Pelodiscus sinensis: one gene and its partner. The main gene of each other region encodes a partner of the protein of the gene in region 2 in a complex. Links are inferred from orthologs where the notes say so. Each region holds a gene or a part of one and is shown on either strand. Other genes may lie near its edges. The genes, in order: calcineurin B homologous protein 2-like and SLC9A1.

The links.
Region 1: the proteins of SLC9A1 (region 2) and calcineurin B homologous protein 2-like are in contact, whole or in part, in a crystal structure (PDB 2BEC), measured with the Homo sapiens proteins. The link is inferred for Pelodiscus sinensis from reciprocal best matches to the Homo sapiens genes SLC9A1 and CHP2. Residues at the interface, in NP_003038.2 of Homo sapiens: Ser517, Ile518, Asn519, Glu520, Ile522, His523, Thr524, Gln525, Phe526, Leu527, Asp528, His529, Leu530, Leu531, Thr532, Gly533, Ile534, Glu535, Asp536, Ile537, Cys538, Gly539, His540; in NP_071380.1 of Homo sapiens: Arg30, Arg34, Leu38, Leu51, Ile54, Ala56, Leu57, Asn60, Pro61, Leu62, Ile66, Phe70, Phe83, Leu87, Phe90, Tyr118, Ala119, Leu122, Tyr123, Met136, Val139, Leu140, Met143, Ile156, Arg159, Thr160, Glu163, Ala164, Phe177, Ser180.

Annotation. Positions count from the first base shown.
Region 1 is NW_027465849.1:4,866,173-4,878,172, reverse strand, and holds the start of calcineurin B homologous protein 2-like, read right to left. Parts: upstream 4,834-12,000; 5' UTR 4,721-4,833; coding exon 4,654-4,720; intron 2,911-4,653; coding exon 2,838-2,910; intron 1,717-2,837; coding exon 1,636-1,716; intron 789-1,635; coding exon 664-788; intron 227-663; coding exon 165-226; intron 1-164. UniProt on the Homo sapiens protein: Functions as an integral cofactor in cell pH regulation by controlling plasma membrane-type Na(+)/H(+) exchange activity.
Region 2 is NC_134735.1:11,968,173-11,979,751, forward strand, and holds the start of SLC9A1 (sodium/hydrogen exchanger 1), read right to left. Parts: upstream 5,465-11,579; 5' UTR 4,713-5,464; coding exon 4,361-4,712; intron 1-4,360. UniProt on the Homo sapiens protein: Electroneutral Na(+) /H(+) antiporter that extrudes Na(+) in exchange for external protons driven by the inward sodium ion chemical gradient, protecting cells from acidification that occurs from metabolism.

The DNA of each region.
Region 1 (12,000 bases), on a different chromosome or scaffold from region 2:
GCTGCCCCTGAGGGAGGGGAGGAGAGAGTCCGTCTCCCGGGGCCCTTGGGAGGAGGCGGGGGCAGCACCAGCCTCACACGTCCCCCTTGCACACTTGCTCTCCAGCCTCGTGTACATGCTCCCCCCAGCCCCGCACGCTCCCCAGCCCCTCGCACACACAGTACCTGCAGCATCTCGGCCCGGGAGATCTTCCCATCACTATCTTGGTCATAGAGCTGAAAAGCAACTGTACGACCAGGATTGGTGTCAGCGCTGGGATCAGAGCAGGGAAATGAACCTGCCACCAGCCCCAGCCTCCTCCTGCAGCCCCTTACAGCCTGCATGTTCCCATGTCCCCCCTACATATGTTGCCTGGATCCGTCTGTCTCCACCCCAAGCATTCCCCCACGTGCCCACCGCAGCATCCCTCCACATGTCTCTGCATTCCTCCAGGTCGGTTAGCTCCTTGGGTGCCCCCACCACACTGCCCCCCGCACTTCTCCACACCCAACACCCTGCTCACATGCCCTTCCCTCACCCCACATGAGCTCTGGCCAGCTGCCAGGGGTGCCTTCCCCTCCCCATTATGCCACATCTGGCGCCTCGTCCCCTTGTCACCAAGGGGCCCCGGTCACTTGCCTCAGCAGTGGGGTCGGGGATCCCCCTGCCTGCCCTGTTACTCACACTGCAGCTTGCTGAGTCGGCTGTTCATGGGCTCCGGGTAACCAGTCTCCTTGGACTTTCCTTCCTCCACGGGCCGGAAACGGGCCAGCACCCGCATGAAGGCTCGGAAATCGGTGAACTCCTCCCTGCAGCGGGAGACGCCACTAATAACTGATGGTAGGTGCAGCCGAGCACAGCTGGGAACGCAGGGCCCAGCGCTGAGCTGCTGCTGCCTTTGGGCAGGGCGCGGGGGGTTAATTATCCAGGGAGAAGCAGCCGCCTCTCAGGTGGGGCGTGGGGATTATTTATACTGGGAACCCTTGTCTGGTGATGAGATGCGACTGCCTCTGGGGTGGGGCACTAGGCTTGTGCACACATGGACCCCTTGTCTGGTGCTGAGATGCAACTGCCTCTGGGGTGGGGCACTAGGCTTGTGCACACATGGACCCCTTGTGTGGTGCTGAGATGCGACTGCCTCTGGGGTGGGGCACTAGGCTTGTGCACACATGGAGCCCTTGTCTGGTGCTGAGATGCAATTGCCTCTGGGGTGGGGCACTAGGCTTGTGCACACATGGAGCCCTTGTCTGGTGCTGAGATGCGACTGCCTCTGGGGTGGGGCACTAGGCTTGTGCACACATGGAGCCCTTGTCTGGTGCTGAGATGCAACTGCCTCTGGGGTGGGGCACTAGGCTTGTGCACACGGAGCCCTTGCCTGGTGCTGAGATGCAGCAGCCTCTGGGGTGGGGCACAAGGCCTGGTACAGGGGGATCCCTACAGCAAAAAGCAAAGGACTGTGCACTCAGCGCTGCGGAGTTCTGCTCTGCCCAGTCCCTGCACCATCCAGGCTCTGCCGGGTTCCCTGCCGTGCTCCGGGGCCTGTGAACGCCGGCGCCCCCCAGTGGCGCGTGACACGCCCTGCAGCCTGCATCCTCTCCCTGCCCCCGCCGTTGCTTGGTCTGGGGGGGGGGGGTGATGCTCGTGGCGCCGACTCACCCCTCCCTGAAGAAGGCGTTGATGATCCGGTCCCCCAGGGGGTTCACCGCCAGCGCCCCGATCCCCTGCAGGTCGTATTTGCTGTAGGGAGACAGGGCAAAGGTCGTGGCACGCCCCAGCTGACACTCGTAAGGGGCCCAAGACTGGTGGACGCTGCCTCTGGGGTGGGGCACGGTAGCTCTACCAGGATCCTGCACCTGATGCTGGGATGCAGCCAGCTCTGGGGAGCAGCATCCTTCCAGTGTTGAGATGCAGCCCCCTCGGGCGTGAGGCCAGGTGGTGGCAAATCCTGGGATCCCTCTCCCAGTGGGGAGACGCAGTCATCCCGGGAGCAGGGGCACGGCAGCCGTCCCATAGGAGGGACACCAGGGTCTGAGGGTTGTTCGTTGACTCCAGCTGGGCTGCGATAAGGGGCAGGGCCGGGTGCTCCAGGGTCCCGCTGGGTGCAGCCTGTGGGCGCCGTGGGGCCCGGCGGGCGCCATGGCTGAGCACCGCTGGGCACTCGTGCCAAGGTTCACACACCTGCGGAGAGCAGCCGCACCCGGCGCCTTTTCCCTTTCATGGCCGGGGAGACAGCCCCAGACCAGCGAGGCGGGTCCTTAGTGACCCGAGGCCATGGGGATGGGCCCCCGACCCTGGGCACCCGCAACTCACTCCTGGCATTACTCCAGGTTGGCACCAGGGTCTGGCCTGTCGCCTGCAGCTCCCCAGCGCATCCCTCCTGCAGGTCCCTGGGAGTAGAGAGCCAGGCCCCTAGAGAGCCACTGGGCCCAAGCCCCCTTCTTGAGGGGCTCAAACAGGGGAATGGGGGGACAGGAGGCAGCAAGAAGAGATTGAGCTCTGCTGGGGGGCAGCAGCTCAAGGAGAGGTGAGGGGTTCTATTCCAGGCTCTGACCTTGGGCCCCACCCCGTGCCTCAGTTTCCCTGCCCACCCTTTTGTCTGTCTCCTTGGATCAGGGGTTTCTCTCCGGCTGTGGCTGATCTCGGCTGCACTTCAGCCGCCACCCCCCCTCCCTGCCCCCGCTAATCACTTCTCCTGGCTCTCCAGACCTGACCCTGTGTCTGGTGGGGGCCAGTCTGTTCCACCAGGCCCATCAGAGACGTAGCCCGGCGCCCCACCCACCCAGGGCCTAGGTGCTGCCCAAATGATCGAATGTCAAAGCAGCCACAAAGGCCGGGACGGCCGACGCCTGCTCCCCTACCTGAGGGAGCCTTTCTGCGCCTTGTCCAGCGCCTGGAAGCGGGCGTAGAGGCGGGTGACGCTGGCCTGCGAAACTGGACACGAGAGCGAGAGCTGTAGCCGGGAGCGCCGATTCCCCCAGGTCTGGCAAGGGCCCCCGGGGCTGAACGTTTAGGGTATCGATGACTAAACCCCTCCCCCTTCCCCCCCTCTGGTTCACATTTAAGGAGATTTAAATCACAGCAGGGGATCCAGGGTTCCTAGTGCGAGGAAGAGCCGGCCCATTGAAAGCCCCTCCCCCGCTATATACAGGGTAGGGGCTTGGCTCGTTCACAGATGGGGAAACTGAGGCACGAGGCTGGGAAGTGATTCGCCCAAGGCGACACACCGCCCATCAGTGGCAGAGCACTCACGAGTCCTGACTCCCCCCTTGCTCTGACCACTAGACCCCAGTCTCCACCAGAGCTGGGACGAGAACCCAGGGGTCCCAATTCCCAGCTCTACCCAAGAGATCCCCTTCCCCTCCCTGATCCAGGGGTAGAACCCAGGAGTCCTGCTCTAACCATTAGACTCTTCTTCCAGAGTGGAAGACAGAGCCCAGGAGTTCTGGCTCCGCCCCCCTACAGCTGGGGGACCTATTAGCCCAGCCACAGGCACCTGTCACACTAGGCTCCTAGCGCGAGCGCTGCCCCTCAAGTCGGCTTTCACGCCCCACGAGCCGGGCTGGATTCGAACCCCAGCCTAGACCACCCAGAGCGGGAACCAGCCACACCCCAGGGCTGCTGCAGCGCCTGGCTGGGACACCTGTTCAAGGCTTCACCCCCCCCCCCCCGTACGTCGCAGGGCCCCGGAGGCGGCTCCTCCGTCCCGCTGTGGGGCCAGCTCCCACCCCTGGGCTCTGAGGGTTCTCCACCAGGGGCCTCCCTGGGTGTGTGGATCTGGCATTAGGTGCTTCTCCCAGCTGTCGTGGGGCAAACGGCCGGAGCACCCTGCGGGGTGGCGATTCCCTGCCCCCTAGGGACCAGGGACTGGATGGGCCTGAACAGTCTGGGGAGCGAACCTGTCTGCTTGGTCAGCCCCTCCTCTCCACCCACCAACAGAGCACCCAGGCCACGGTCCCCAGGGGCCAGGCCAGGCGGGGGAAACTGAGGCCCCTTTTTTTTTTACTGGGTGACTTGCTGTGGGGCTGCACAGCTGGCCAATAGCAGAGCCACGCAGGAGCCCTGGCTGACTCCACAATCGCTGTTGGGATCACAAAACCCCACCCTTTCTGCAGCCAGAGTCCTGGCTCCCAGCCTCCCTGCGCTAGCCGACTCCCCCCAGCCCTGCCTCCCCCGTTTGGGGGGAACCCAGGAGTCCTGGCGCCCACCCTCCCTGCGCGAGGCCACTCCCCCCAGCCCTGCCTCCCCCCAGTTTGGGGGGAACCCAGGAGTCCTGGCGCCCACCCTCCCTGTGCAAGGCCACTCCCCCCAGCCCTGCCTCCCTCCCCCAAGTTTGGGGGGAACCCAGGAGTCCTGGCGCCCACCCTCCCTGTGCGAGGCCACTCCCCCCAGCCCTCCCTCCCTCCCCCCAGTTTGGGGGGAACCCAGGAGTCTGGGCTCCCTGTGCTTTGGCAGCACCACACACACAATTTCTTCTCCCCTTCAAACAGAGGCCACCGCATGCAGGGCAGGTCCTTGGGGCCAGTGCTACCAGGCCGCCCAGCCCTGTCCAGCGCAGGGGCCCTGCCCCACCTGGCCTGCAGCCTCGGGGCACCAGGGCAACCGCCACCCCCTTTGTTCCTGCCTTTGCCAACTTTAGGGTTGCCCGACCCCCTCCCCACCCCGCAGGTCCCTTACAGCCCGTCTCCTGCATGATCTGCTCCAGATTGGGGATCGCGGATGGGTGGGAGCTCTGAGAGCCCATCTCTCATGCCGTCAGGCCTCGCCGGGATCCCCCCACTGAGCGAGGGCAGGGACCAGCCAACTTTCCCTGGATCCAACTTTTCCTGGCAGCCCACATGGGAGCTGGAGTGACTGGTGGGACAGCCAATCAACCCCTGGCAAAGGAGGGCCTTGGACTAGCTGGGCTGGTTCCTTTAAGGTGGATTTTCCTTCTCTCCGCCCAGGCAATCATAGGGAAACAGGGAAGTGGCTCCTTTGTTTGTTTTTAAAGTGTCCAGGTTGGGGGGGGGGTGGGGAGCTGAGCATTTCCCACGCCAAGGCCTTTCCACACCGGCTGATTGTCCGCACTGGGGCAGGGCGTGACTGTTTATACTGGGCCCTCCGGCCTAGCCCTGAAGTGCAGCCACCTCTGGGTTAGGGCACGACGGCTGTTTACACGGGGATCCCTCACCCAGGGTGAGATGCGCCCACCTCTGGGGCAGGGCACAGCAGCAACGCATTATAAAGGGATCACATCACACAGGGCTGAAATGAAGCCACCGCTGGAGTGAAACAGGGTGGCTTTTTATACATTCCTGGCCTGGCTCCTTGGCCTCACGTGGAAATGTAGATGCCCCTAGGGCAGGGCAGGGCGGTTGTTTGTACAGAGATCTTCACCCTGAGCTGAGCTGCAGCTGTCTCTGGGGTGCGGCACAGCTGCTGTTTGACAGCCAAGCTCCCATGCTGAGTCACATTTTATGGCAGGTGAAGGGTGATAAGGAAGCAGAATCCAAGAAAAAGCAGGAATTTAAGGAGGGCCAGATCAATATTGATACAACGGCAGGAAGCGGTGGAGCCTCAGTTTCCCTTTTCTTACTGCAGTCCCTCCCCCCAGCTCTGTCCCCACCCCCGCCCCAGGTGCCCAGCCCGAGGGTCGGGTCACCCCCCAAAATCACCACCAAGGCACTCAGAGCGGCCGTCCCAGCCATCTGCCACCAGAGGGTGCTGCCGGATTGCAGGAGTCACGTGGATTTAGGGGAGGCTCAGGTGTCTGGTGTCTGACCCCCAGCTGGCCCTGGCCTGACCCAGACAGTCCCCATCTCAGGATCTAGGGCCCAGCTCTGGGGCCTGAGCCCACAGTCACTGCCTCCTCCAGCCCACGGAGGGGGAGAGGCCCCATAACCCATTCCCTGCCCCCCATCGCGTCAGCCGCCAGCCTGCCGTGTGGGGCTAGAGCAGCACTGGCACCCCTGGCCGGGGGGAGCCCTGGATCCCATTCCTGACCCTCTGGAGCCAGCCCCTCGCCTTCTGTGGGGCCAGACCGGATCCAGTATCTCCTAGAGGGGAAGGGCCCGTGTCTCACTCCTCTGGCCCCCCCAGTTTCTGCGACATGCTGACACCAAGGCTCCAGAGGGGAAGCCGGGCACAGACATGCCCAAGGGCATCAGCAGGACGCAGGCGGGAGACACAGAGCCCCTTCCACCCAGCTCGGCCTTGGGCCCACTCCCATCGCCCTGGCGGGCCCACCCCCATCGCCCTGGCAGGCCCACCCCCATCGCCCTGGCCAGCGGGTCAGGCAGGGAAGCAGGATGAGTCTCCGTGGGCAATAGGGAGACCCCCCCCCACTCCCAGGGGTGCAGAGAGCCAGGCAGGGTGTCCAGCTCTGCAAGGGGGGGTGCTCAAAAGGACCCCTTACAGTCCAGGATACAGAACCCTGGGAGCCCACTGACCCGCCCCTTTAAACTAAGACCAAGACCTCCCCTCCCCCCACCTCGCCTCTCCAGGAGATGCCCCTTTGCACCTGCTTTTAATAGCCCCATCAGCTGATTAACTTTGCTGGGGGTGGGGCGGGAGGGTGTCTTAAAGGCACAGGCGCTCATTTGCTCACCCGGGAGGGGGCTGAGGGGTGAGGCCAGGGATGAAGGGGTTTCTCTGGCTCCGCAAAGCCAAGCTCAGAGGGTGCCGGTTGGGGGGAGGGGATGGCAGGAGTGGGGGAGGGCGGAAGCAGGGGACCTGCAGAGAGGCTGGGACGCGGCTGGTTGGTCGATGGGTGGCGGACGGGCCATGCATGCGACGAGCTGGGCAGGTCTCAGCTGCCCCTGCACACGGCCAGTTGTCACCACTGGCCTGGACGGGCAGTGACCCCCCCCCTAAGAGAACTGACTGTGGGCCATGGAGACCCAATGCCCCCCTCCCCCTCCTTCTCCCCCTGCTTCCTAAGGTGGCTGTGGGGCAGGGGTATTGGGAGGGTTGAGCTTCCCAGCCCAGAGTCCTGACTCTCAGCTCCACTCCCGCTCTAACCACTAGATCCCACTCTCCTGCTCCAGACCTGGAGACAGAATCCAGGAGCCATCCCTGCTCTAACCACTAGACTCCCCGCCCCCCAGGGACCCTAGCACTGTTCTATGTCCGTATGTCTGTCCCCATCCCGGAGGGATGCTGGGCGCCTGGACAGGTTGCTACGCGGAGCCAGGGGGAAGCAGACGCAGAACAGAACAGGGAGCTCTTGCAAGCCCCTTGCGCCCTGAGCGATGGCTGGCCAGCAGGGGGCGGAGCTGAGCCATTGGGGGGGTTGCAAGATTGGGGTGGCGGGTCCCCCGCAGCCATGCCCACTTTGGGGACACCCAAGGGATCCCCCTCTACAGACACAGCAAGCTAGTCACTTTCCCCAGTGTGAAACTGCACGACAGGAGGGTCATAAAAACCCCCAATCTGCATCCAGCAGCTAACGTCCTGCTACTCCCAGGCCCCGGCCCTGGCTCTGCTGCCCGGGGCTGGGGCAGCCCAGCAGCCAAGTGCCCCCTGGGATGCCAGCTCCTTGGGCAGGGAATCTATAGCAGAGCCTGGCAACCCGACCCTAGGCTCCAGGTCGGGGATGGGGGGGCTGAAGACAACCCGACCCTCTGGGGGGTCTGCCCACCTCCTCCTCTTGCCTGGTGGTGCTGGCCACGCCGACCCCCGGGGCATGAGGTGGCCGGTGACGGACTGGCGGCCCAGGAAACCCGCCCCACCAAGTCTAGGTGGTAATGTCAGGACTGGCACAAGGGCAGGTGGGAAAATGTCACTGTTAGGGGTGAGTAGCGTGGCCTAGTGGGTAGGAACAGGCGTCGGGTCTGAGGTCAGAGCTGAAACCAGAGAGCAGGGGTCAGGTCTCTGGCCAGGGCACAAGACGGGAACAGCCCCTGAGCCCGAAGCCAGGGCCGTGGCAACAACAGGCCAGGTGGTGCCGACAGCTTCCTGCAGCCGTGGGGTGGGGCTGCCTTTTGGGCCTGGGCCCTGCCGCTCGGGGCCCCCGGGTGTAGCGGGCTGCTCCCAGCTGTCCGGGCGGGTGGGGTGGGTTCTAGTCCTCCAGACCCGGCTGCATTGGGCCCGAGACTGACCAGCTGCTCATGCGCATGACTCAGGCATGCAAAGGGGGCCCAAACGGCCCCTCAGTCCTGGCAGGGGCTGAGAAGCGCCAGGCTGAGAGCACGTGGTCCCTGTGCCGGTCAGCGCAGGCAGCTGCGTTCAGTAGCAGGGCCCCACTGGGCCCAAGGGCAGAGTTAAGGTCGTGGGGAGGGTGTTTACTATGGCTCTGTGTGTCCAGGCTGCAAGGGCCTGAGTGATCCTACGCCCCTGTAATTCCACCTTTACAATGTCCCTTTTGCTATTTAATACTCGTCCTCCCCTGCCTCTTCTCACCGGGCATCACAGCGAATGGCTGCCCGTAGCCAGCTCTGCCCACGTGCTGCCCCGTCGACTTGCAGAGCCCCGGCGAGGGCAGTGGTAGGCAGCAAGGGGGCGCCCATCTCTCCCCACGGGCCGGTGTTGCTCCCGCCTGCATCCTGTTTTGCTCAGCAGCCGGGCGGCCAGGAAGTTTACGCGTCTCGGTGCCTCGAGCGGCTTGTTTTGGTCCCTCACACCTGGCGCGGTGCCCGGGGCGGACTCCCTCCCCCCTGCCCATAACCCCCACTCACGGCAGCAGAACTCAGCCACTTCCTCCTCCGAGGCCGGACACTGCCGGCTCTCACGTAGTGCTGTGTGGGGTCTAGGACACACAGTGGAATAGTGCTGAGGCCAAGCAGCAGAGAGGTGTGTTGAACACACACACTCGCTCTCCTCCTCCAGACCCGGGACTAGAACCTAGGAGTCCTGAGCCCCCGTGGCTCTAACCACTAGACTCCCCGCCCCCCAAGCTGGATTGGAACCCAGGCGTCCTGCCTCGGCCCCCGCCCCTCAGAGCACAGCTGTCCCCAAGTGAGGCCCGGTCCCCCTCCCTCCCGCCGTGACCCTGTGCGGAGCTGACCCTGGGCCCGCTGGGGGGAAGCGGCCTAGCCGTGTGTTGACAGCTGCTGGCTGTAAAGCGCTGCCCAGGGGGCCAAAACTCTGTGCCCCTCACAGCTGCTGCTTCCCCACGGCTTCCCCATTAACACTGGCTTGTTTGGGGTCAGGGAGGTGAGGACACTTGGCTCCCGGGGGGTAGGAAACCTAAACAAGAGGCTCGGGGCAATCAAGCTACACGGCGCTTCAAGGAAGGGACCAGGGGAATTTGGGCATCACCAGCCCCAGCCCCAGCGCTGGGCAGAACACATCGGGCTCAGGCACGGCTCCTGCTCTAACCACTACCCCCTACTCCCCTCCCAAAGCTGGGAGCCCCAGCCTCCCCTGCTCTAACCACTACCACCTACTCCCCTCCCAAAGCTGGGAGCCCCAGCCTCCCCTGCTCTAACCACTAGCCCCATGCCCCCCCTTCACGAGGTGCACATAGTGCCCGGGTGTCCGCGCGTCTGCCCCCCCAGCCAGGAACGATTTCTACCCCCTCTGCCCCTAACCCATAGCTGCAAAGGCTACCTGGAGCTCAGGGACTTGCCCACGGCTGGGGTGGGGGAGACCCCAGCCCTGCAATCACCTGATGAACCAGCCCCCCATACCCGGCAGACTCACCCCACCCCCCGCCCCCCAGGTCAGAGGAACAGTCCTGTTCTCAGGCCATGGTTTCTCTGCATGCAGGATCCCAGCAGGTGAAGGCAGGACATGGGCAGGGGACTTGGGGAAGCACCTTGCTGGGCAGGTCAAGCCCCCCCCCCCCGTCCGTCTCCCTCCCTGCCCTTGACTCTGAGCCGGGTTAGGGTTGGTGGGTTATTCCATTTTAAAAAGCCTTAACCCCACCCCCGCTCCAACCATGGGACCCTTGTATGGCTGCCAGAGCTGCAGAGAGAACCCAGGAGTCCTGGCTCCCAGCCCCCTGCTCTAACCTCTAGTCCCCTCTCCAATCCCAGAGCTGCAGAGAGAACCCAGGAGTCCTGGCTCCCAGCCCCCTGCTCTAACCACTAGTCCCCTCTCCAATCCCAGAGCTGCAGAGAGAACCCAGGAGTCCTGGCTCCCAGCCCCCTGCTCTAACCTCTAGTCCCCTCTCCAATCCCAGAGCTGCAGAGAGAACCCAGGAGTCCTGGCTCCCAGCCCCCTGCTCTAACCTCTAGTCCCCTCTCCAATCCCAGAGCTGCAGAGAGAACCCAGGAGTCCTGGCTCCCAGCCCCCTGCTCTAACCTCTAGTCCCCTCTCCAATCCCAGAGCTGCAGAGAGAACCCAGGAGTCCTGGCTCCCAGCCCCCTGCTCTAACCACTAGTCCCCTCTCCAATCCCAGAGCTGCAGAGAGAACCCAGGAGTCCTGGCTCCCAGCCCCCTGCTCTAACCTCTAGTCCCCTCTCCAATCCCAGAGCTGCAGAGAGAACCCAGGAGTCCTGGCTCCCAGCCCCCTGCTCTAACCTCTAGTCCCCTCTCCAATCCCAGAGCTGCAGAGAGAACCCAGGAGTCCTGGCTCCCAGCCCCCTGCTCTAACCTCTAGTCCCCTCTCCAATCCCAGAGCTGCAGAGAGAACATAGGAGTCCTGGCTCCCAGCCCCCTGCTCTAACCACTAGTCCCCTCTCCTCTCCCAGAGCTGCAGAGAGAACATAGGAGTCCTGGCTCCCAGCCCCCTGCTCTAACCACTAGTCCCCTCTCCTCTCCCAGAGCTGCAGAGAGAACCCAGGAGTCCTGGCTCCCAGCCCCCTGCTCTAACCACTAGTCCCCTCTCCAATCCCAGAGCTGCAGAGAGAACATAGGAGTCCAGGCGCCCAACCCCTCCCCCGCTCTAACCACTAGTCCCCACTCCTCTCCCAGAGCTGCAGAGAGAACCCAGGAGTCCTGGCTCCCAGCCCCCTGCTCTAACCACTAGTCCCCTCTCCTCTCCCAGAGCTGCAGAGAGAACATAGGAGTCCAGGCGCCCAACCCCCCCGCTCTAACCACTAGTCCCCTCTCCTCTCCCAGAGCTGCAGAGAGAACCCAGGAGTCCTGGCTCCCAGCCCCCTGCTCTAACCACTAGTCCCCACCCCTCTCCCAGAGCTGCAGAGAGAACATAGGAGTCCAGGCACCCAGCTCCCCCCCCGCTCTAACCACTAGTCCCCACTCCTCTCCCAGAGCTGCAGAGAGAACATAGGAATCCAGGCACCCAGCCCCCTCCCCCTCCCGCTCTAACCACTAGTCCCCTCTCCTCTCCCAGAGCTGCAGAGAGAACCTGGGCGTCCTAGCTCCCAGCCCCCCCCCCCATGTGGCAGGTGTTCTGAGATGTGAGGGTCTCGCAGGCGGAAGGAAGCAGCGTCTCTCCCTTGCCCCGCGGCCCGGCTTCCCGAGCCTGCTGTGACACGTCTGTGGGGAGCCGGGGGCGCTTGCAAAGGGCCACGTAGCCGCTTCCCCCCGCGCTACGCGAGGTCAGCGTAGGGTGACCCCGGCCGGGGCCGCGAAGGGCCAGGTGGGGCAGGAGGGGTCCCAGACAGGACGCTGGGTTCAGAGCCAAAGGCCCCAGTCACGGCGCTGCCACGGTCCCCTCGGCGCCCCCGCACATTCTAGGTACCCCAGCGCCGGGAGCCAACTGCCCTGTCCCGGGCAGCGCCGGGGTCCGACCAGCCTGCGGCCCACGGGGATGAAGGAGGGTCACTCATAGCCCAGGCACTAGCCTTGGTTGCCCATCGCTGCCCCAGACCTACAGCTTAACACAGGGCTTCTCCCCTGGCAGTCCCCATTGCGCCAGTGAGGCACTAGGGGGCGCTGTGCTGCAGGGAGTTGAGGTGTCTGTAGGGGGCGCTCTCCCCTGGCACTCGGTGCTAGCCCCAGTGAGGCACTAGGGGGCGCTGTGCTGCAGGGAGTTGAGGTGTCTGTAGGGGGCGCTCTCCCCTGGCACTCGGTGCTAGCCCCAGTGAGGCGCTAGGGGGCGCTGTGCCACAGGGAGTGGGGTGGGGGTCAGTAGGGGGCGCTCTCCCCTGGCAGTCAGTGTGGCCCCAGTGCAGTGCTAAGGGTGGGGGGGACTTG
Region 2 (11,579 bases):
TGGAGAGAGAAAAATTGTTCTCCTTGGCCACTGATGAAGCAATGGGCTTAAATTGCAGCAAGGGAAGTTTAGGTAGGAAGTTTTTCCTAATGTCCAAATTATCAGGGTGGTTGAACACTGAAATAAATTGCCTAGGGAGGTTGTGGAATCTTCATCACTAGATATTTAAAAGCACCTTGGATAGACATCTCTCAGGAATGAGCTAGATTTTTTTTTAAAATAAAGTTGAGAAACACTAAAGTACCCTCACAGTTTTCAGACACACAAAATTATTTTCTACCATTGCAATACGTTTGCTTAAACAACTTTATCATAGCCGGGCGGGCCATGAAAGTTTTGGATGTAAAAAGTACACAAATAATAAAGCGCTATAACACAAAAATTCAATTTTTCAGTTGTGTTGACGTACCCCCCAGACTTCTCTCAAGTACCCCTAAGGGTACTCGCACCACTGGTTGAGAAACACGGATCTAGAGAGTGGTTGGGCCTGCCAGGAGGGCAAGGGACTGGACTCAACCTCTCAGCATCCCTTCCAATTCTTGTATTCTATGATTTTATGAAAATTCCCTTTTAATAAACTAGAAGATTTACCCAGCATTGCTCAGGTCCTTAACTCAATTCACTTTTGTTTTTCTTCATTTATATCATTGCTCTGGGGGGGGGGGGAGGGAGGCTGGGAATAGGGGGCTCAGTATCCAGGTTTCCCTGGGAAGAGGGGACTATCCTAACCCTCTCTCTCCACAGCAGCATGGGGCCATGTGAAAAGTGACTCTCCATGACCATTGCAGCTCCAGCAGCGAGAGAGGAGCAAGCTCCCTGGCTAGGGCAGGTCCAGGTTTCCCTGCCCCTTGCCGGAGTGAGAAATACAGGAAATTGTGCATTTTCTCCTCACTCAGTGACAACAGGAAACAGCCAGCAATGTTCCCATACGAATTGGGGAACAGCTTCCCCCCTAAATGGCACCTGGGAGGGAGGGAGGCCGGCCATGCCCCCCAGCCAGCCTCTTTCATCTGCCAGGTGATTCTGTCTCTTTTCTGTATGGTTTTAGGAGACGCAATCCCATTCTGGGAATGTCCCATGTTCCTGGTACAATCAAACCCTGACCTTGCCTTAAGTTATGATACGAGGAAGCTGGATACGGAATTTAGTGGTCCTTGCTCTTGTTTAGGGAGGAGTTCTCGAACAAACAGTTGGACAAACTCTCTCAAATATACTGTAGATAAGTCAGCCTCAGTCCTAACTTCAGGTGCTAGGACTTGGCGAGCCAGCAATAATTCCCATCTACGTGGCTGGTGGAGATCCTGGCCACCAGTGCGGTTGTGTTACACTAGCGCTCACTTCCACACTAGAGCTCACTTCCAGAGCTGGTTACATTCTCACAGGCCGTCAGGTAACTGAAGTTTGCCAGATAGCGGCTCCTTGAAGCACGTCACCAGAAGAGTGCTCCAAGGTCAGCCACTATGCACGTGCCTGAGATTCCAAGGAATCAGGTGCCTCAAGATTGGGCCGTTAGCCCAAGCACGTAGGACACTGCGTCGCTTGCAATGTTGTTTTGGGACAGATTAAACCACCACACAAAGATATCACAAGGAAAACGATGCTGGGTGAGGCTTACTGGTAACCAGTTCACCGGCGCCTGTCCTGAGCAGCCCCTGCCCACGGTACTCCAGCCTAACTGCACCATGGGCGGGGGCTGCTCCAGTGCCCCCCCCCCCGACCCATGGCATGACAAAGTGGGCCAGCTAACCAGATAAATATATAGTTTAGCCAGTTAACATTTTACAGGGGATTTTACGTCTATAGCAGAAGCTGCTTTGTGCTGCAGCCTCTGCCTAGACACTGTAGATCACTCTGATAAATGAAGATGCTCACAAAAGAAGGCAATCAGCAAACCTACTGGAAATTAGAAATGCGCTAACCCCATTTCCCACCTTCAGCACGTTGCATTTCCTTACAGGGAATTTCTGCCGCATGTCATGGCGCTTTTCACACCAGTTTCTCCAGGCGCACTTTGTGACTGGCATGCCATTTGTGACTCTGGATTAAAGTCAGGTTCTGTGAGGCTAAAGGCCAGAACCACCACCAGCACCCCCTTCTACCAGCAGCTGCATAGAGGTTTCTGATTTCTCCACCCAACAGAGTTAAGGAAGATGATAAATGCAGCCCAAAAACTGGACTCCATTACTCTAGTTACTTAATATATGGACTAAGGGCCAGCTGAGGGGGGACTGGGCTATGAAGTGAAAAGCAACAGTGTTGCTCATTAGTCTGGCACCTTCTTCTAAGGATATTTAAGGTCACCTGAAAAGACTTTCCCAGAAAATGTCGGAGTGAGAGGGAAAGACAAAACCCAGGAGTTCCAATTCTCAACACCAGCTCTTACCACTAGATCTTACACAGACACACACAAGGAAGCCTTCTGGGCCTAAATGTTAACACTTATATTCCTAGTTTCAAATAAGAGATTGAGAGGCCTACAGAAGAGTCTTAAAGAACGTTCATATCTACACACACACTCCCATCTAGACCCAAGTTTTCTGGGGGAAAGACATTTCTATAATCTCAGGCCATGATCAGCAGTTTACATTGAATTACCAGTCTAGGGATGTAACAGTGTAGTCGATTAACCAATAAGCAAAAGCTTGGTTAATGCTATAGACCACACACATTTCCCTTCCCCACACCTTGCCAGTAATTAGCCTGGTTCGGTCCTGGCTTTCGACTGGTCTGGGACCTATGCCTGTTGCGGCTCTGCATTTAATGTACGTTAGGAGCCAGGTGGCCAGGCAACTCAGCTCTGTTCTGGCTTGCGCCAAGTCCGGAAGCTCAGACCCCTCCACCCCGACAGGGGTTACTACCACCCTGCGCTGCTGTCTCTGTATCAGAGGCAGTCGTGCGGGGCGACAGGCAGCCAGTCCATGAAGGGAGCGGGTTTTTAAACTGGCTCCCCTCACAGACCAGCTCCCACCTGGCACCCTGCGCTGATGTCTCTGATACAAAGGCAGCAGCATGGAGTTGAAGGAGATTCCTCGGCTGCTGGCCCCACCCCGAGGGACTACAGAATAGTCAAGTAACGGATAAGAATTCATGAGGTTACGCGACTATTCAATTAACCGATATTTAACATTCCTACACCAGTCAAGGCCTTGCGGTCGGTTACACCAGAACCTTTAGAACATTAGACAACAGTCAGAGCCAATCATGAGGTTTCCCAGGGCAAGCACCACTCTCTCTGTCAGCACTCAGAGGCTAACTAGGAGCCTGGCATAAGAGTCAGCGCATTACAGAGTTCCCGAGAACCTGTAGCAGTGTTAAGTGTAAAATAATTAATGGTGAAAATCAGGAAGGGAATAAAGGAAATGCAGATCTCTTCCCCCTCTCTCACATAACCATCCCAAAACAGGAACAGGCAAATGCTTCATCTGCGCTTTAGGCATTACCACATAATACAGTATAAGCAAGCATCACCAGCTGCCCAGTGGCCAGTTTGGCCCCTGCGTGACACCAAAGCCAGTTTTGACATGGGATAGGGCCCTGCGTGCTCACATCACATTCTCGGAGAATTCAACAGGTATCAACCCTGCTAAAGAAGTCCTAAGAAATCTGCTGTCAGAAACTCAGTACACCAGAGCCGTTCAGGGTAGTTAGTCATCTCTCCAGGGGATCTAGATACTCAGGCACCCAAACATTCCGAGTACTGAACACCTCACAATCCTTAATATATTTATCCTACAACATGGTTGAGAAAGAGGAATGTGGTTCAGATGGGAAACTGAGGCACAGAGCTACTAAGTGGGGCTTGCTTAAGCTCTCAGGTAGGTCAAGAAATTGAATAGAAATTTCCCTGGTCACAGGGCAGAGCCCTAACCCTTGGGCTATCCTTCCTCTTTAGGGAGGATCAGCAATAATAGGGAACAAATGATTGTTAAAAGAGTCATATGAATTTCTTTATAACAGAACAGTCAACAGAAGCCACTTTGATAGCATATTTCATCCAAGGATCTCTGAGAGCTTTACCAACAAATCTTATAAGTGCGAAGTGTGTTTACATTTTACAGACCAGAAAGGTTGAGTAACTTCCCCAAGATCACAGAGTGTCCCTAGCCTGTTTGGCAGAAGCAGGCAATGGGCAACAGGAGATGCACCGCTTGATGAGTACCAGTTCTGTTTATCCTCTCTGGGCCACCTGGCATTGACCATTGCTGGAAGGCACTATGGTGGTCAAGATGGACCTACAATCTGTCCACTCTTATGGGATACTCATCAGGAAGAGAGCCCAGACCTCCCAACTCCTAAACCTGCAAGTTTGGGCACTGCCCCATGCCCCCACCCGGCATGCAGAAAAGTGGTGCCAACGTACCCAGTTTCATGAGGCATGCCAGCAGTATCCAAAGGGAGATCTCAAAGGGGATCCGCACATGGGTGTAGTCAATGCCCAGGACCGGGAAGGCTTTCCGCGGCTTGGAGTGCCCAGGGCTGGAGTGGTTGGTCAGCGGGCGAATCTCTTGGGAGACGTCCGGAGGAGCTGCGGTGACATCCCCGGGCTCAATTGCACTGAGGACTGCGGGGTCGCGGTAGGGCGGCTCGGAGGTCAGCATGTGCTGCAAGCCATGGCTGTGAAGCAAGGGCAGCAGACCCAGGAGAGCTGCCACAATGAACAGGAAGGGCAAAGCGCGGAGGGAAGGGACACGGCGGCCGCGCCTCGCCTGCATCTTTCCCGGGCCCCGCTAGCTCAGAGGCAGCCTGTTCCACAGCGCGTCATGGGCAGCGCAAAGGCGCCGCTGCAGAGGGGACGGGAAGGGAGGAGGGGACCGGGCCACACGCATGCAGCGCTCGCTTCCCCCCCAGGCGAGGATTTTAAAAAAGAGCCCATAAGACCAGAACCGAGCCGGCGGGCAGGAAAGCGAGAACCCTGCGGAACCACGGGCACGGCACCCTCCCCGCCAGGCTCAGGAAAGCGGCGAGAGGGCGCAGCAGCAGCCGCCCCGGCGCGGGCAGGGCGGGGGCCCCAAGGTGCAGCAGCAGCCCCCGGCCAATCGAGGGAAGGTGCAGAAGCAAAGGACTGGCGGGGGGAGGAGACAGCTGGAGCCGCCCCGCTGCAGACACGCAGGGTGCAGCCCGGAAAAGCCGGTTCCCCTTGGCTGGGGAAGGGCTCGCCCAGGTTCCTCCCTCCGGCAGGGGAGGGCTGGCGGCCCGCCCCGGGGCTCCCCGCTGCTGCGGGCAGGGGGGCTCGTCCCGCTCCGCGGAGGGTGCCAGGGAGCGCCGCCGCGCAGCTCTGCTCTTCCAGCCGCGCTCACTGAGCCCCCTGCCCGGCCGGCTCCCAGCCTTATAGCCGCCGAGCCAAGGGCGCGGGGAGAGGCAGGCAGCGGCCGAGGCTCCACCGCAGCCACAGCAGCACCCACCGGCCGGGAGCAGCACTGCACAGGGTCCCGCAGCCGGGCCCGCGGCTGGCCCGGCCCTAACCCGACCCACGTGGCGCGCAGGTTTCTTGGGGCCCCTCCCGCATCCAGTGCGCGCGCGCTCCCCGGGCCGCTTTTGCCGGCCCGGCCCCGCTCGCAAGGGACGGGCCGGGAGGCGCAGCGTTCGGTGCGGGAGAGCGCCCCCCTCTGTGCGGAACGCGGCCACCTCTCTGAGGAGTAGGTGGTAGCAGCCCCTGAGCAGCAGTGCGAGAGGGGAGGAGTTTGTAGCAAAGGGCCGTGGGACAAAATCCAACTCTTAGGAAAACTGCTGTAGGGTCATTAATGGAGCCGGAGGAGGGAGGGGAGCCGCGGTTAGGAGCGCTCCGCTAGAGAGACAGACAGATAACATAAAACAGACAGGAGCTTAGACCAGGTCTCATTCAAACAACTTGTTTGCGCAGCGCAAGCTCCCTGGAAGTCAAGTTCCAGCATGTACATAAAATAAACTCGGCCAGGCAATTCATGCAGCAAAGCACACCCAGGAACCCTGGACGTTGTGAAAGCAAAGCCAACCCAGGGAATATAGACTCTGTTTTAATTTAGTTTTTATGCATGTGTACCGGTAGAAGAGAGATTTACTACCAAAAATGCAGCCAATACAGACATGGCCAAACTTTAAGACCTACACAGCTTCTTGGGACCAGATTTTTAAAAAGATGTATTTAGGCGCTTAAAGACTCAGGTGCTTTTGTAAATCCTACAAGGATTTACAAAAGCACCTGACTCCCATTGGAGTTAGATGCTTAGGTCCTTTTGTAAACTCCCACTTGGTGCTTATCTGTATATTTAGGCACCTAAATACATTTACAAATCTGGTTCTTGGTTGTAAATTCCCGTCAAAGAGTACCAGAAATATTGCCCTGTAAAATAAAACCATGGGAGTAACATGAGTCAGCTGATGTGAACTTTATTCCTGGCTCTGCCATTGAGCTTACTCCACTCTTTTGTATTGTTTTAGTGGCAAAATACACACATTTATTTGCTAAATGTAAAATGGGGAGAATATGTCCATCCTTCACGAGGGGGTGGTAGGATAAACATTATAATTTTTAAAAACAATGACTAGTCCTGTGGCAACTTAGGGTATGTCTACACTACCCCCCTAGTTTGAACTAGGGGGGTAATGTATGCATACCGAACTTGCTAATGAAGCCCGGGATTTGAATTTCCCGGGCTTCATTAGCATAAAGCCGGCGCCGCCATTTTTAAAAGCCGGCTAGTGCGAACCCCGTGCCGCGCGGCTACACGCGGCACGGACTAGATAGTTCGGATTAGGCTTCCTAATCCGAACTATCTGTACGCCTCGTTCCACTATCTAGTCCGTGCCGCGTGTAGCCGCGCGGCACGGGGTTCGCACTAGCCGGCTTTTAAAAATGGCGGCGCTGGCTTTATGCTAATGAAGCCCGGGAAATTCAAATCCCGGGCTTCATTAGCAAGTTCGGTATGCATACATTACCCCCCTAGTTCGAACTAGGGGGGTAGTGTAGACATACCCTTAGAGACTAACAAAAATATATAGGATCATGAGCTTTTGTGGGTAAAACCCACTTCATCAGATGACTTGGAGTGGAAATAACAGAATACAAGATAATAACAGCAAAAGTAGTTACCTGTCAATTGTAGGGCCTGTGTTAATGAAGCTAATTAAGTAGACTAAATGTGGCCCATTCATAGCTTTAGATGTGAAAATGCAAATATCAAAGGCAGGGGAAACTGGCTTTATAGTGCATTAACCAATTAAGATCTTTATTCAAGCCAGGTTGACAATGTCAGATTTGTAAATGAATTCCAGTTCAGCAGACTCTCTCTGCAAATGGGTGGTACAATTCCTTTGTAGAAGAACGGCTACTTGTAAATCCATGATTGAATGTCCAGGCTTATAATGTTCCCCTACATTCCTGATGTCTTATTTGTGTCCATTTATCCTTTGTCGCAGAGACTGTCTGGTTTGGCCAATATACATGGCAGACGGGCATGGCTGGTCCTTGATGACATACATCATATTTATGGATGTGCAGTTGTATGAGCCGTGATATGGTTAGGTGTTGTGATGATGTTCCTTGTATAGATATGTGGACAGAGTTGGCAGTGGGGTTTGTTGCGGGGTAGGCTCCTGGGTGAATGTATCTGAGGTGTGGTGTGTGACTGCTCGTAAGTATTTGCTTCAGGTAGCAGGAGATTGTCTGTAGGAGAGGATTACCTTGTCTCCCAAGATCTGAGAGAGCAAGGGATTATTTTCCCAAGATAGGTTGTAGATTGTCAGAAGGATGTGACAGGCTAGTCAACTATCCAATAAGCAAAAGCTTATTGAATAGTTGAGTAGACTAGTCACTTCCCCACCTTGCTGCCTCTATCAGATAGAGGCAGCAAAGGAGGAAGAAAGGGTTTCTTCAAAGGGGCAGCCGTGTGCAGCTGAGCCCAGGCTCAGCTGTGTGGCATTGCCCCTTTGAAATGCCAAGGCGGCGTTTCAAGGTGGCACTGTGGAGCTGGGGACTCCCCAGCTGATCCCAGGTTCCACTGAAATCCCAGGTTCCACTGAAATGCCCAGGTTCCACTGAAATGCCACGGAGCTGAACTCGGGCTTCGTACCGCATTTCAAATCGGCAGCACAGCATGGAGCCCAGGGTGAGCAAGCTCCATGCTGTGCAGCTTTGAAATGCACAAGAACCCCGCTGGGGACTCTTGTGCATTTCAAAGCTGGCACGTCATGTGCAGCCCAGAGTCAGTAGGGGCTCTTGTACATTTCCAAGGAGGAATGCAGAAGTGCCTATTGACTAATCAAATAGTCAATGGAAATTCCATCAACTACTCGACTAGTCAGTAAGTGCAATTTAACATCCTTAGATTGCCATTCGTGCACTGGAGGGGTTTAAACTGGGGGCTGTAGGTGATGACCAGAGATGTTCTGTTAATTTCCTTATTGGGTCTGAAGTAGGTGACTTCCAGGTACTTGTCTGGCTCTGTCAATCTGTTTCCTCACTTCCCCGGGTGGATATTTAAGCTTTAAGAATGCTCGATAAAGATCATATAGATGTTTGTCTCTGTGGGATTTAGAGCAAATCTGGTTGTATTTTAGGGCTTGGCTGTAGACAACTGATCGTGTGATATGACCTGGATGGAAGCTAGAAGCATGTAGGTAAGAACAATAGTCAGTAGGTTTCCAGCAGAGGTTTATGTGACCAGCATTTATGTGTACTGTAGTGTCAAGGAAGTGGATCTCTTGTGAGGACTGGTCCAGGCTGAAGTCAATAGTGGGGTGGAAATTGTTGAAATCCCTTCAAGTGTCTCCTTCCTGTGGGTCCATATGATGAAGATACCATCAATGTAGTGTAAGTAGAGGAAGGGTGCTAGCTGAGGAAATGTTGTTCTAGGCCAGCCATAAAGATGTTGGCATATTGTGTGTACCCTTAGCAGTGCCACTGACTTGAAGGTATAAATTGTCCCCAAATCGGAAATAGTTGTGGGTGAGGACAAAGCCACATAGCTCAGCTGCCAGGTGTGCTGTGGCATCATCGAGGATCATGTTCCTGACCGTTTGTAGCCCACCCTCATGTGAAATGTTGGTGTAAAGAGCTTCTACATTGATGGGGGCCAGGATAATATTTTCAGGAAGATTACTGATGCTCTGTCGTTTCCTCAGACAGTCAGTGGTGTCTCGAAGATAGCTAGGAGTGCTGGTAGCATAGAGTCTGAGGAGAGAGTCAACATAGCTGGATAATCCTGCAGTAATGGTGCCAATGCCTGAGATGATGGTACATCCGGGATTTCCAGGTTTATGGATCTTGGGAAGTAGAGAAAATACCCCTGGTTGGGGCTCTGGGAGGGTGTTTGTGTAGATTTGGTCCTGAGCAGTAGCAGGGAGTTTCTTGAGCAGATGGTATAGTTTCTTTTGAGATTCCTCAGAGGGATCAAAAGAAAGAAGCCCGTAGAATGTGGTGTGGGCAAGTTGTCTGGCAACCTCCTGTTTGAAATCTGACTTTGTCATGATGACTACAGTCCCCTCTTCCCCACCGCCCCCGTCAGCCTCCTTGATTATAATGTCAGAGTTATTTTTGAGGCCACGGAGAGCATTGCGTCCAGCATAGCTGACGTTGTGTGTCATGTGATGTTGTTTGTTCACAATGCTGTGCACGTTTGTGGCAGCAATCAGTGTAGAAGTCCAGAATGTCATTTCAACCATCTTCCATGTAGAAATCTTCATGTAGGGTTCGTAGAAGGGATCCTGTGGGTCAATGCAATGTTCAGTGATGTGTTGGAAATATTCCTTCAGTCAGAGGTAGGGATGTAAGTGACTAGTTGACTATCCCATAAGTGTAAGCTTACCGGATAGTCAACTAGTGATGTGACTAGTTGCTTCCCCTCCTTGCTGCCTCTGTCAGAGAGAGGCAGTGAGGGAAGGGAGCAGGAGCCGGTGCTGGGGGGAGCCGGCTTAAAAGCTGGTTTCCCCCAGCACTGTCTCCGCAGGGAACAGGGGAGGTAGAGGCACAGCAGGAAACAGTGTGAGTGGGGAATGAAGTAATCTCCACTCACACTGGTTCTGCTGCAATTCTGCTTTTGAACTGCACAAGAGCCCCAGCAGGGTTCTTGCTACCGTTGAAAGACGGAGGCACCCTTATCGACGAAAAGTCAATGGAAATCCCATCGACTATTCAATCAGTTAATTAATTGAAATTTAGCATCCCTAGTCAGAGTCAGCGAAAATAGGCTTCCAGGTCACTGCAGAACTGTATCATGTTTGTGGGGGTGGTGAGGCAGAGAGTCCCCAAGATACCACAGACTCTTCTGCCCGGCTCAGTGTGTGGTTGGATGGATTAACAATGTTAGGTGAGTTGAGGGTACCGGAGTAGTAGTACCCTGTGGCGTGTAGGAATTTAGATAGTTTATTGGCCTTTTTCTTCTGTAGGGAAGTGGAATGAGCATTGTAAGTGGCTTGTCTAGTTTTTGTAAAGTCCAGCCACATGGAAGTTTGTGTGGAAACTTGTTTTTTTTATGAAAGTCTCTAGATAAGAAAATGCTTATCAGATAGTTGACAGGATAGTCGACTACAGGAGACCCCCGCTTTATGACGGCCTGATTTACGATCCCCCGCACTTATGACCTTTTCTGTAAGTGTGGAAGGGGCCAAAATCCCACGATTTACATCCTTGGCCCCGCAATTACGATGGCGTATGACACCTTTCGTAAATGTGGGCTCGAGTTACAACACCCCCAACTTGCAACGCTATTCCCGGAACCAATCGCATCGCAAGTTGGGGGCAGCGTATAGTCGCTTCCCCCACACCTTGCTGCCTCTATCAGATCGAGGCAGCAAGGGGGGGAGAAGCGGGGATACTCCAAAGCAGCAGCGCTACACGGAGCCCAGGGTCAGCTGCTCTGTGCAGTGCTGCCACCTTAAATGCGACGGGGAGCCCAGCACCAGGCTCCTCATGGCATTTCAAAGCAGCAGCATCACGTGGAGCCTGGGATCAGCTGGGCACTGTCCCCGGGCTCCATGCGGCACTGCCACTTTGAAACACTGCCACATTTTGATTTTCTCCTGTTTGTTGTATAGGATGCTGATTGGGTGGTTCTTCAGTTTCTTTGAGTGTGTGGCATAATCTCTCACTGTAGTCCATGTAGTATGTGGATGATAATGGATTTTTCTCTTTCAGTCCATTGGGTATGATGTTCATTACTTTGCACTTGTAGAGGAATATGATTTTTGTTTGTATCTGTCCACATTTCTCTATAAAGTTGATGGATTTCCAATTCAAACGGCTAAATGAAGTCCCTTGCACGGTAAAAAGTCTTAGGGGGTACCTGGGTTAGTCTGTAACTTTAAAAGCAATGAGTAGTCCTGTGGCACCTTAGATACTAAGCTTAAAGGCACTCACATACTCTGGGAATAAAGCAAATCCTCAGATTGCAACACTCCCACTGAAGCAAACCAGAGACCCATGCATAGCAGATTGAGGACCTTGGATTTTACCTGAATCGTCTTTGTTTTAAATTTCCTCCCAGCATAATGTGCTGCTGTTGAGACTGAAGACAAGAGGAGAGATGAACACTGGGCAAGGAGGAACTGAGTATCACTGAAGAATACGTTGCTCAACAGATCCTTACTCCAGAGTGGGAGGACTA